Tribolium castaneum: one gene and its partners. The protein of the gene in region 3 binds, or shares a complex with, the protein of the main gene of each other region. Links are inferred from orthologs where the notes say so. Each region holds a gene or a part of one and is shown on either strand. Other genes may lie near its edges.

Region 1 (3,652 bases), on a different chromosome or scaffold from region 3:
CTAGGAGCAATATTATGTCTAATGATACAGTTGGATGCAATAAAAATGGAAAATGTCATAGCATGAAAATGTCAGATTTTTATATTTTTCTCAACATTTTTTTTAAAGGTTAAGTTAGAACTGGCACCTTTACTGACTCACCTCAAAAAACATATATCAAAGAGTGTCTTTTCGTTCTCTGACATGCAAAGTTTCATAATAATCGGATAAAGCTGTAGTTTTAATATTTTTTGAGGTGGATCAGTAAAATACTATTGTTATTTGTAGAGGGGTACGTATTCGTTGTTAAAATTATATTTTTTAATTATCTGAGATCTGTACCAAAGAAGTTTAACAACAGAGACAAAAAGAAGAAAAGGGACAGGCCAAAAAAAAAGAAATTATTTCGTGGAATTATCATCGGAAGAAAACAAAAAAACAAAGGTAGAAGAAGTAAGTAATCAAGTAATAATTGAGGAATTAAAAAACAGGTCTCTGTAGATAGAAGAAAACAAAAAGACAAAAAGAAATGAATTGATAGGATTTAAACAGGATGACTTTAAGAATGCTGTTGGAGATGAGAACAAAGTGGAGAAGAGACACTGATTAACAATTATTACAAAAATAATAGACCAAATATTATGAAGAGGGAGATTTCCAAAGGAAAGCAGAAATAAGCTAAATACATAAAAAAGCTAAAAGGAAAGACATGAAGAACTAAAGAAGAGTGAATTTGTTGGAATACGACCAAAAACAATGCAATTGATAAAAGAACTTAAAGGAAGAGCTGGAGTTTTACTGGATGAACTAGCGGTATTTTAAGTGATGAATGCGAATGATAGTAAAATCACTTCAAAATAAATATCCTAACTAAAATGTAAATTATTAAAAAAATTCATTTTGACAACCTTTTGTTTTCTTACTTAACTAGTAGCCGAAAGAACAGATTTCAGTGTGTGTGGTATTAAAACATATTTTTTCACTTCATTGAATTAAAAATTTTAATTTTAAAAATTCATGTTGAGATAGAAATACAAATACAATAATATGTTAAAATCTTCAACTGGGAACACTTCAGAATGTAAGAAGCATTTTTGAATTGATCTAGTTTACCTTAAACAAACTATTAGAAGAAACTACAGCCATCGGCAGATGATACTTTTACCGTACAAGCGAAGGCAATCTGCCTAACACCCTAAAATTTCGAAATGACACAAATATAAATGACACAACTATGTAATCGATTAATTTTTGTGATTAAAGTTAAGACTGTAGTGTTCAATTCTAATATTATAATATTCAATTTATGCAACTGTTTCATTAAATGTTTAGAAGAATGTTAACACCATTCACCAGAGGCGCCAAGGTCTTGAAAAGCGAATAGTTAGCGAGCTTACTTCAATGTGGCGCCATCTATTTTTTTCTAAAATTCTTCTCTTGTAACTTAGGAACCAATTTAATTAGTGGCTTTTTGTTTAAAAAATTTAAACAATGACAGCACATAACTGAATTGTTGTCCTCTTGGAAATAAAAAAAGACATGGAATGCGACTTAATTGAAGAAAAACCTCCTTCACTGATCAAGGAAACTGATACATTCATGCAAACTTACGTTTTATTCAACTTGACGCAACAATTTACCGCCGCCGTTAAGCTGTCCTTATCCACCGTGTTTTGGTTGAGATTTTCCAAATACTTTTTTAGAAGACTTGAGGTGAAAATTTCCCGATTCATTCCCTCTTCAGCGGCCAAATTGAGCGCCTCAGCCCACCTCCCCTGCTCACTGAGATACAAAAGTCGTTCCGGCCACGTCCTTAATTTAATTAAATGCACAGCTTTTGTACCCAAAACTAGTAATTGATCCCCTCGACTAGATAAACTGTTGTAACAGGCCCTCTCCCCTGCCAGTGCAAACGCCTCACTGACGCCCCCTCCCACAGCCAGGGCTTTAAAATGCGCCGAACTATACACCAGTCCAGCACTGGCCAACTCCAAAACTTCCAACTCGCGCTGCGTCCGCACCTCCACCAGCCTCAAATTCTCACTGGTGTCAAGTAACGCCAAGTGGCGCGTCCCCAACCAATGCATGGCAGTCAGAGTATAGTTCAGCTGAACGTTGCGCAAGGGGAGAAGCCTCAGTCGATTGTTATTCGTACTATGGAATACAACTCGGGTGTAGTTCAGTTCGTTGCAGCGCCCCCATGCGAGCACGGGCTGAAACGTTCGTCCCACCGACACCAACTGCCACGAAATCAACGGCAGAGAGGTTGAAACTCTCGGTAGCGGCTGACTGAACAGGACTTTCAGCCGGGGCCGAATTGATATCACTATGACCTGGAATCATACTTGTACATTTCTGAGGACAGTTTTGGTTTGTACCTTGGATAATGTAGCCATGGCAACAAGGATATGGTGGCTTAAAAAATGAATATCGTGGCCTTGGACCAACGGTTCAAAGACACAAACTTCGCCACGAGCGCCCGAAAAAAGACACTTTGAGTCCCAACTGCGTACTCCTAAACGGCGATTAAACGAAAGGGAAAAAACGCAACCTGAAGAGTCGCCACAAAGCGCCAAATTATTCAAAAAGGTGAATCGCAAGTGCAAGACGGCGGTCTGGGGGGCATGGGCGTCGGGTAATTTTCTAATTATGTCGCCACTGGTTGCGTCCACCATTGAAATAAAGCCCCGTTCATATCTAGAATTTTTTTAGTTAGAATTAAAACATTTAAAGAAGTGTCTTTAGGGATAAAGAAGTCTAGGGATATATAAAACTTAGGACATAAAACGGCCAACCAATAAAACGTCCCCGTAATCGATAGTTCCGTTAATGTCGCCAGAGGCGCACTAGTTCCATTACCGTCAGTTTTCAGATTTATAAAAATAGTTGTAATTAAATAACGGTTAGCACAAGGCGAATGAAAAATACAGACATATAGAGCATTCAATTCTCAATAGTAAGAAATAAACATAAAATGCACAAATTATAATTTTAAACCAAATTTACAAAATTTCAAATTTTTCAAAACGCTGCGAAAACGGTTTCAGATGCAAGAAAAATATTAGGAAGAAAGTTGTAGAGAATTAAATTTCCTACAAAAAAGTGTGCGAGACCACATCTCTATCTTCAACCGTTTAGGCCCCAAAGACGTTCAAAAACGCTGTAGTGGGGGATTCGTTTCATTTTTCCTGTGGTCGAGTATAGAAAGAAGATAGATATGGAATATAGTATATAGAAATATGGTGTTGCAATTTTTTTATATAAAATTAAATTTCCTTCAATTTTACTCCTTTCTCTTTTTTTGTATTTTCAACCATATTCGCACCGTTGACAAAAATACAGCGTGTTAGGGCATAGACAAATCGATTAAGCAAAATTTATGTAAATCAAAATGCATAGCTTCCCCAAAAAATCGTTCCGAAGTTAATGTCCCAAATTTTGAGAACCGCTGAACTAGCATTATAAAAATTAGCGTAAATTCTAATATTAATGACAGAACAGCAGAAGTAAATTAATTTCTTGGACCATTACGTTATTCTTTATTTCAATTTGTGTTTTATTATTAAATTTTACGAAAAAAAAATTCTTTTTGTCAGGACCAGGATTCGAACTTCCCACACAAATGAACATGTTAGCCACAATTTTGAAAAATTCTCAAAACGCCCATGCGCCA
Region 2 (4,377 bases), on a different chromosome or scaffold from region 3:
ACCATAACTATATCTCATTTCAGTTCATAGTAGAATTTTGCATTTGAATTTCTTAGAGTGAAATGGAGCACAAATTGAGAGTTTCTGGTGGCTTTTCTCAGCTCAAAACGTGGCGCTGTGTATTAGTTTAACACACATTTCTTTTTTTTACAGAAACTCAATTTGTGCTTTATTTTTCAAAATCCAATTTTCATAAAAAAACATGAAAATTTATCCCAAATCAAGTCAAACTAGTGTTTTTTATCGTTTTTGAGCGTATACTTTGATTTAGTATAAACTAAAAATTGTTTTTTTTTCGAAAAATTTCCCTTAAGGCGCCCCGAGAACTGTCAAAATGATGTGTTCATACTTTTATACATATCTTAAAAAATAGATTACGGAGTAGTAACATACCAATGATTAGAAATCGATTCCCCACAAAACTACACATTTTTATTTAGCATTGAATCAGTTTTTTGGTCTGTTGATCTGAGACTTGGGTGCCAAACGCAAGATACTGCACAGAACGGAAATCGAAATCGGAAATTGAAACAGATACTAGCAATAGCAAGGAAAAAACAACCTTAGAAAAATTTCTTTGAGAATATTTTTTTAAATTATCACTTTCAAAATTTATTTGTCAGTTGGAGGCGCCACAATGGTTTCTGGTTGAAAATTGTTGTCGATTTTGATATATGTATAAAAGTAAAAAAAGTGTAAAAACACTATTTTTTTTGGTTTGGCAGTTTGATTTTGACAGTTCTCGGGGACCGCCTTAACGCTAAAACACACTGAAAGACCGAAAATTACATTTTCAGTTTTTTCGGGGCAAAGCCCCTCGCGAAATAATCTTGGTGCTCGGTCAATAGAAATAATCTTCGCCACCTTGATGTAAAAGATACTATTAAGGTGCAAGAATATTTTTTTTTGTAGTTATCTCGAGAAATTTCGTCAAAAATTGTTTTATATTTTATATTATTAAATAAATTCAAACAGAGAAGCAATTTATTATCTAGAAAAAAATTGATTATAATAAGCCCAAAAATAACACAACTTTATTTCAAAGCTCTTAAATTTAGTAAACGTCTCTATTTAAATTTTTGGTATGTTACTGCCAATGTTTGGACAACAAAAACAAAATAAAATAACTAAATATTCAGGTTTAGTAACACATTTGAGTGCCTATGTAACCTCAAATTTGAAATGACAAATTTCGATACAAAGTTAAACAAAATGTTGCGTTTTTGTAACACGGTTTTAAAGAAATAAAAAAATACTCACCTGATGGTATTTCCTGTCCTCATACGGACCCATTGGGGAATGGGTCTGTTTTGTTTAAGCTTTTTGGCAAGCTTTCGCTTGATTATGAATGTTTTGTGAGCAGACTGAAAAATACAAACAAATAATCAATTCATGTGATTCCAGAAGTTGATATGAAATAAATTAAGTAGGAAATATAAACGGATGAAATAAATATAATTGAAAGACTTACCATCGCTCCTTTCGACTTGACAGTTGACAAGAAAGGAATTACTGAATCAATTGGTAGCAATGGCTTCGTTTGGGGGAAAAGGTCTCACCAACGTAATTAAAAAAAACACAAATCGGCTTAAACAAATAAAAAAGTACGTAATCGTGCTAACGTTGTTCCAAAAGAAGTCTTACAAGTGTAAATAACAAGACATTTTTTTTTATTTTGACGATAATATTAAATAATTTAATTTTGATTTTGAGGTTAGGTTTCTGTCACTTTGACAATATGAAAACAACAAAATGCATGAAGCATATCAAGTTCATTCTCTCCTAAAATTGACTTCGCAAATTGAAGCAATCACAGCTTACGGTCCGTATCATATTTTCCCCATAATTTATTTTTTAATTATTATTTATTGCAGATGAAAATCTCTTGGTTGGCACCCGACAGGGTCATTTATTTATGTATAGTTTGGTGCAAAACGACGAAAAATGCGAAGTCCAATTAATGAGATACAATAAATCGTTTAGTAAAAAGGCAGTTCAACAACTGGAGGTAATCCCCGATTATCATTTACTGATAAGTCTCACTGGTAAGAGTGCTATGAAAATGAATGTCACTCATTTGTCAAATTTATTTTTTGTATAATTTTTAGATAATTTAATACAATTACACGACATTAATGCAATTAATTTTACGACCGTTCATCAGGTGTTGAAATCTAAAGGGGCCACAATTTTTGCGGTCAATATTCAGAAACAGACGTCTTTAACAGGGGTTACTAGTACTTTGGTTAGGTTGGCTGTGGCTGTGAAAAGAAAGCTTCAGTTGTATTATCTTAAAAATAATGAATTTTTTCAACTTATGGAAGATATTACGTTGGCTGAGGTGCCAAAATCGATGGTTTGGTGTGAGGAGACTATCTGTGTGGGCTACAGGGGGGAATACGCCCTGATTGAGGTAGTTATGTGCTTTATTCTAGAGTGCTGTGAAAATTTTGTGACAAATTTTGACACTTCATTATCATGGCAGTTTTGATCACATTTTTATGTCTATTTTGTGCAGTGTTTTACCAGATTAAAAATACAATTTGCTGAATTTACAAATATTACCACCAGATTTTTAACAGATTAATTTAAATAATTTTTGCCGTATTTTTGACGTAGGTTTGTTCAAAAATGAGCTAACTTGATCGAAATAAATCGAGTTTTTTTTTAACGAGTTTTAGCGAAATTTGTCGAAAAGAGCTTAATTTTTTGTTCAAACTATTAAACACAAATAAAATTGAATTAAAAATTTAATTCAAAACGTCGTACATCTTTACATTAAGATTGGGTTAGGAATACAGATTGTTTTAATTAACAAAAAGTATGTTTTTAAGTAACTAGTTGCTGCAAAAATACAAAGAGGTTTTATTAGCACATTGTATTTTAGCATATTTACAACAGTTTTTTTTATCTAAAACTCTCTTAATTTAAAAATTATTCGGTTTATTTGAATGAAATTACGCAAATAATACTTAAAATATTAATTCAAATGTTTCAAACACATAGTGAAATGCTTTTAAAAAATTAAAGTGGCACAATTTTTAACGAAATTTCGTCTCTTTTAGTTAACTTACGAATCAAGACCTAGTGAAACGGACAATATCATATCAATTTCGACTTGATGATTGTGTGATTTTTGGGCTTGTTTTTACCAGGTTTTGCAAAATAATAAAATAATAATTGTCAGAAACAAGCTCTAATTATTACTATTATAAACAGCAATATTTTCGACCAAATCTCGTCTCGTTTACCAAATCTCGTTTACCAAAAGGGTAAAACTTTTGGAGGAAATGTTTAAAATCAAGCAAAACAAGATGAAGAGACATTAAGTAATCTTATTCTAACTTATCCGAAAGAACAGTATATGCATCAATTTGGATAAAAACTATTCATTTAAGCCGTTTTCAATTTGTTTTATGAGTTGTTTTGTCAATTTTAACGAAATTAAAAAAAATCTACATTTTTTGAAGAAAGCATAAATAATAAGATTTTGTCTCAGAAAAAAATGAAAATTTTCGCTTGAGAAAGTTTAAAATAACAAAATGTTTTTTCAATTATTTTTGACAAAATGAGTTAGATAGAGCCAACCGGAAGTCCTACACACAAATACATTTTTTCGCTCTGGATGACAGTTTGTTCAGGCTACTTTAGGTTTAACACTAACAGTTCTAAACTTACCATATTACTTTATGTCTCTTAATAAGTGAATTTTACAGTAATAGTATAATTAATAAAATAAAACAGTTTACCGCAAAATATACTGGTTATATCATGTGTTCCTAGATTTACTATAAATTTGAACAGTTTACTTAATTTGCTCAAAGTAGTGTAACAAACGTCAAAGATCTAAAATGAATATGCAATTTTTTGTGTTTCAATTTCACAGTCTTTTAGAGGTTATCTATACTTTTAGTTACGTAGTAAATCACTCAAAAATGAGGAAGTAATGTAATTTGTTGGTTTTATTTTAGTTTTTATTTTGGTAATTTTTTCCCATTTTCCACACATTTTCCACCAAATAAATCTTGTTGATTTTTTGCTCAAAATTGAGCAAAATTCGGCGAAATAAGTTCAAGTTTGGTATTTTTTCAACCAGTTTTAGTGAAATTTGTCGAAAAAAGCTTTTTTACCTCATTAAATTAGATTCAACATATAAATAACAATTTTGGTGTGAAATTGTCAATTTTCAACTTGTTTTTTACGGAATTTTGCGAGAGTGGTCGAAAAATGCAAAGACTAATTGAATGTATTTACTATCTCCACATAGAATCTTCCAAAATCTCTAGTTTAAAAATGAACTAAATCGAGCTAAATTAAGTAAAGAAACATCAATATTGTTCTAACTTGGTTGTTTTTTTCAGTCTGTTTCAGCGAAAT
Region 3 (4,233 bases):
AAGTTATCTGATATTCTACAATCAAACTTTGAGAAAGAAGTCGGTTTAAAACCTTAATTCTAATTAATTGTGGTCAAGGTGTATTGTTGGTTGTATAACATCCTATTCAGATTACAAGAACCGCACATTTTTAAATTCTGACCTTTAGAAAAAAGTGTCGATATTATTTAATTACCAGAGATGCATTTAACATTTAAGGGGGAGAATTTCTCGATTTCCAAGATAAGTGTCCACAAGTCATTTGACGTCACATACTGAAGAAATTTATTACTCATAAGGTGGAAATTTAATTCTTAAATGTGGAAAACGCTTTAGTACGTTTTCTACCCAAAAATAAAAAATCCCAATGCATGTTCTGACTTGAGACCCATTAGCATATAACCAGTTTTATCAAACATTTAAGAAAAAGTTACAAACATTTAAGAAAAAGTTACTAATAAACAATCAGGTTATCAAAAAATAAATAAATACTGTTACAGTATAGGAAAAATTCTTAATGATTGCTTTGGAGCTTTGGATAAAAGTGAAGCAACAATTGTGCCACTGTTGAATTTTTCTAAAGCCTTCGGCGCCTCGGATCACTCACTTTTATGTGCAAAATTATCTTTTTACGGTTTCGACAAAATTTCATTTTTTCTTCATTCATATATGACAAATAGAAAACAAATTGTTACAATAGGCACCGCACAATCAAGAAGGTAAGAATGAAAGAAAGAAAGAAATAAAGAAAGAAAGAAGAAACAAGTAAGAAGAAAGAGGAAAGAAGAAAAAAGAAAGAACGAAAGAAAGAATTTAGGTTTTTTACTATTATGTATAATGTAATTTAAATAAAATCAGATTAATTAGATTAATTAAATTAATGACGCTTTTATAAACCAGTTATATACTTAGGGCCGGTTTATATGTAGAAAGCTTTGTTAAAATTTAATTCGTTGTTAAAAGTTAACAAAACGAATGGACCAACCAAATTTGTTCAATTTGGTCAGGTGATCAGTTATCCTTAATCACGCATTTAATTGCAGATTAACTTAATGACGCTTCTATTAACCGATACTTAACATACACGGTGGAGCAAAAGTAATTATCATGGTTTATTTGTGCCAGTTTGGCTGATTATGTCTTTGATTTATAAATAAGCCCCCGTAGAGGCTTCCAAAAATTGCCGTAGCGCACGGTATTTCACGTGCACATGGCGGGGTATTGGTTAAAGTTTTCAACTAGCAATAATCGCACCTCGGATTTACCTCATCGGTTACGATACTGCCACTGCGCAAAGCTGACAAACTTACCCCCTACCAATTCATTTAAAGCCACGAGGACGGCAAACGTTCATGAATCATAAACCTTAGCGCCATCTCGCACCACTCCTTCGAACATTGCAAAATAAAACAACCCCAAAGGCCCACAATCACCCAAATCCCCAATTTTGTCATCGCCCCAAAATTGTAAATCACCCCATTGTCACCACATGTCACAGTGACAGCTAACCTCAAACAACTGTCACAGTGACAGCTAACCTCGAAAATGTCATCTCATTTACAAGGGGGCCGCGTTGACATATCCCTCATCCAAACGGCGGCCCGTAACAACCTCATCACCCTCCTGGAGAAATGCCCAGGCCCCAAAGCCATCGTTTGGGACAACTCGCTTGCGGGCCCCGTGGGACTCATCGCCCAATACGCAGTCTTGAAGGAACATTCGGTCACTAAAATGTTCCCCCTGCGCCCCACACCACTCCCAGAAACAGACGTAGCCCACGTTATCTTCATAACGCGCCCCAAACTGCACCTAATGGACTTTGTGGGCTACAACGTCCACGCCGACTGCAAGACCAAAACCGGCTCCAAAAAGCAATACCACGTGTTTTTCGTCCCGAAAAAGAGCCTCCTGTGTCTGGAGCGCCTCAAGCATAACGGAGTGTACGGCAGTGTGAGTTTAGTTGAAGAGTTCCGCTGTGAGTTATTCCCGTTTGACTCCGATGTTGTCTCGATGGAAATTTCTGAAGTTTTCCGGTAAGTCCACACGTGGGTGAATATGGGGGCTCACTGTCTTTCCGCAGCGAGTACACGCTTGAAAACGACCCGACTTATTTGTACCAAACGGCACAGGCGATCATTTTTTTGCAAAAATTGTACGGCCCCATTCCGCGCGTGTGGGGCAAAGGCCCGGCCGCGCGCCAGGTGTGGGAGCTGGTGACGCGGCTCCAGCGCGAGAAGAACGCCCCCTTGAAGACGAATCAGACGTCCACCATCGACCAGATCCTGCTGATTGACCGCGGGGTGGACCTGATAACCCCCTTGGCCACGCAACTGACCTACGAGGGGCTCATTGACGAGATTTTCGGCATAAATAACTCGACTGCCCAGTTCCCCATTGACAATTTCTTGAGCAGCGAAGAGCGCACCTCTGAGTCGCTCTCCGAAGACAAGAAACAAATCATCTTGAATTCAGCCGACAAGTTATTTGCCGACATCCGCGATAAGAATTTTAACGCCGTGGGGGCGTTTTTGTCGAAGCAGGCGAAGGCGATCAGTGTGCAGTTGGATAATAGTCAGGAGCGGTCCGTGCAAGAGATGAAGTTATATGTGCAGAAGCTGCCGCAGATTTTGGCCAAGAAGAAGGCTTTGGCGCATCACACGGCCATTGCGGAGTGCATTAAAGAAGTGACTGATGGTTACGAATTTTTGGACACGCTACAAACGGAACAGGAGTTTTTGAATTGCATTGAAGTGGATAAAGCTAGTCCGTATATCGAGGATTTGATCGCACATGCCAAGCCTCTGGTCAAGGTTTTGAGACTGATTTGTTTGCAGTGTATTACCAGCTCGGGGCTCAAGCCCAAAGTGCTGGAGCATTACAAGAGGGAGCTGGTTCAGGTGGGTTTTACAAGTAGGTCATGGTTTATTGAGGGTTGCCAACTTAATTTCAAAATCACAAACCACTTCGATTAATTTTTTTTTAATTTTAACCGGTGTTATACAAAAATTTCAGCCAATATCATCAAAACTACGGATTTTGTAACAAAAATGAGCTCAGATTTGAAATGCTAAGACAATTTTACATCAGATATGTATATTTTTGACCTAATTTTTTGATTATTGTGCACTTCATGATTTTTTAAATGCAGATAAGTAGATAAAAATTTGCCCAAGTTGTTTATTTGAATTATTTGCATAATTTTGACTCGATTGCCGCAAAATTTTGCTCGAAAATAGATAACTAACTAACAAGGTCAATTTATAATTTTTTTTTTCATTTTTGCTAGAATAAAAAAAATTAAATCGACCATATTTTGATATCTCCAAAATTACGAATCTTATAACAAAAGTGAGGACAGATTTGGAATCCTCAAACAATTCTACGTGAAATAGCCATTCTTTTGACTTAAACTTTTGATTATTCTGGTCTTGATGATTTTTTATTAGCAGATAAGCAAATAATCCAGTCATAGCTGGCCATCCGTCAAACTGACACTTCTTATGTCACTCTTTTACAAAGTGTTGCCAACCTAATTTGGATTCCACAAGCCTCTTTACACAAATTAATAAAATTAAATATCTTGTAACAAAAGTGAGGACAGATTTGGAATCCTCAGATAATTTCCCGTCAAAGTGCCATACTTTTAACTTAAACTTTTGATTTTTGTGGTCTCGATGATTTTTTATTACCAGATAAGTAGATAAAAATTTGCCCAAGTTGTTTATGTAAATTATTTGCATACTTTTGACTCGATTGCCTCAAAATTTTGCTCAAAATTAGATAACTAACAAGGTCAATTTATATTTGATTTTTTTTCATTTTTGCTAGAATAAAAAAAAATTAAATCCACCATATTTTGATAATATCTCCTAAATTATGAATTTTATAACAAAAGTGAGGACAGATTTGGAATCCTTTGACAATTCTACGTGAAATAGCCATACTTTTTGATTATTCTGGTCTTGATGATTTTTTATTGGCAGATAATCAGATAATCCAATCATAGCTGGCGATACGTCAAACTGACACTTCTTATGTCACTCTTTAACAAAGTGTTGCCAACCTAATTTGGATTCCACAAGCCTCTACACAAATTAAAGAAAAAAAAATGTGAAACTTTCCAGGTGTATGGCTTACAAGCGCTCCTCGCCATCACAAACCTGGAAAAAGTGGGCCTTTTAAAGGTCCAATCAGGAACCCGACAATACACAGTCCTACGCAAAGCCCTAAGACTCACAATGGAAGACACATCTG

Evidence for each region.
Region 1: car (region 3) and Vps8 share a complex: the UniProt entries of both Drosophila melanogaster proteins name them as parts of the class C core vacuole/endosome tethering (CORVET) complex. The link is inferred for Tribolium castaneum from reciprocal best matches to the Drosophila melanogaster genes car and Vps8.
Region 2: car (region 3) and Vps39 share a complex: the UniProt entries of both Drosophila melanogaster proteins name them as parts of the homotypic fusion and vacuole protein sorting (HOPS) complex. The link is inferred for Tribolium castaneum from reciprocal best matches to the Drosophila melanogaster genes car and Vps39.

Annotation. Positions count from the first base shown.
Region 1 is NC_087394.1:22,505,423-22,509,074, forward strand, and holds part of Vps8 (vacuolar protein sorting-associated protein 8 homolog), read right to left. Parts: intron 2,677-3,652; coding exon 2,358-2,676; intron 2,313-2,357; coding exon 1,591-2,312; intron 1-1,590. UniProt on the Drosophila melanogaster protein: Part of the class C core vacuole/endosome tethering (CORVET) complex involved in endo-lysosomal vesicle trafficking and lysosome biogenesis by facilitating docking and fusion of endosomal vesicles.
Region 2 is NC_087402.1:12,355,305-12,359,681, reverse strand, and holds the start of Vps39 (vam6/Vps39-like protein), read left to right. Parts: upstream 1-1,505; 5' UTR 1,506-1,604; exon of another isoform or gene 1,605-1,648; intron 1,649-1,713; exon of another isoform or gene 1,714-1,718; 5' UTR 1,719-1,752; coding exon 1,753-1,822; intron 1,823-1,874; coding exon 1,875-2,045; intron 2,046-2,108; coding exon 2,109-2,413; intron 2,414-4,377. Other genes in the region: RpL39 (ribosomal protein L39), read right to left, coding at 1,261-1,364, 1,472-1,474. UniProt on the Drosophila melanogaster protein: Part of the homotypic fusion and vacuole protein sorting (HOPS) tethering complex involved in endo-lysosomal vesicle trafficking and lysosome biogenesis.
Region 3 is NC_087401.1:11,290,928-11,295,160, reverse strand, and holds the start of car (vacuolar protein sorting-associated protein 33A), read left to right. Parts: upstream 1-1,319; 5' UTR 1,320-1,524; coding exon 1,525-2,012; intron 2,013-2,059; coding exon 2,060-2,876; intron 2,877-4,103; coding exon 4,104-4,233. UniProt on the Drosophila melanogaster protein: Core component of the class C core vacuole/endosome tethering (CORVET) and the homotypic fusion and vacuole protein sorting (HOPS) tethering complexes involved in endo-lysosomal vesicle trafficking and lysosome biogenesis.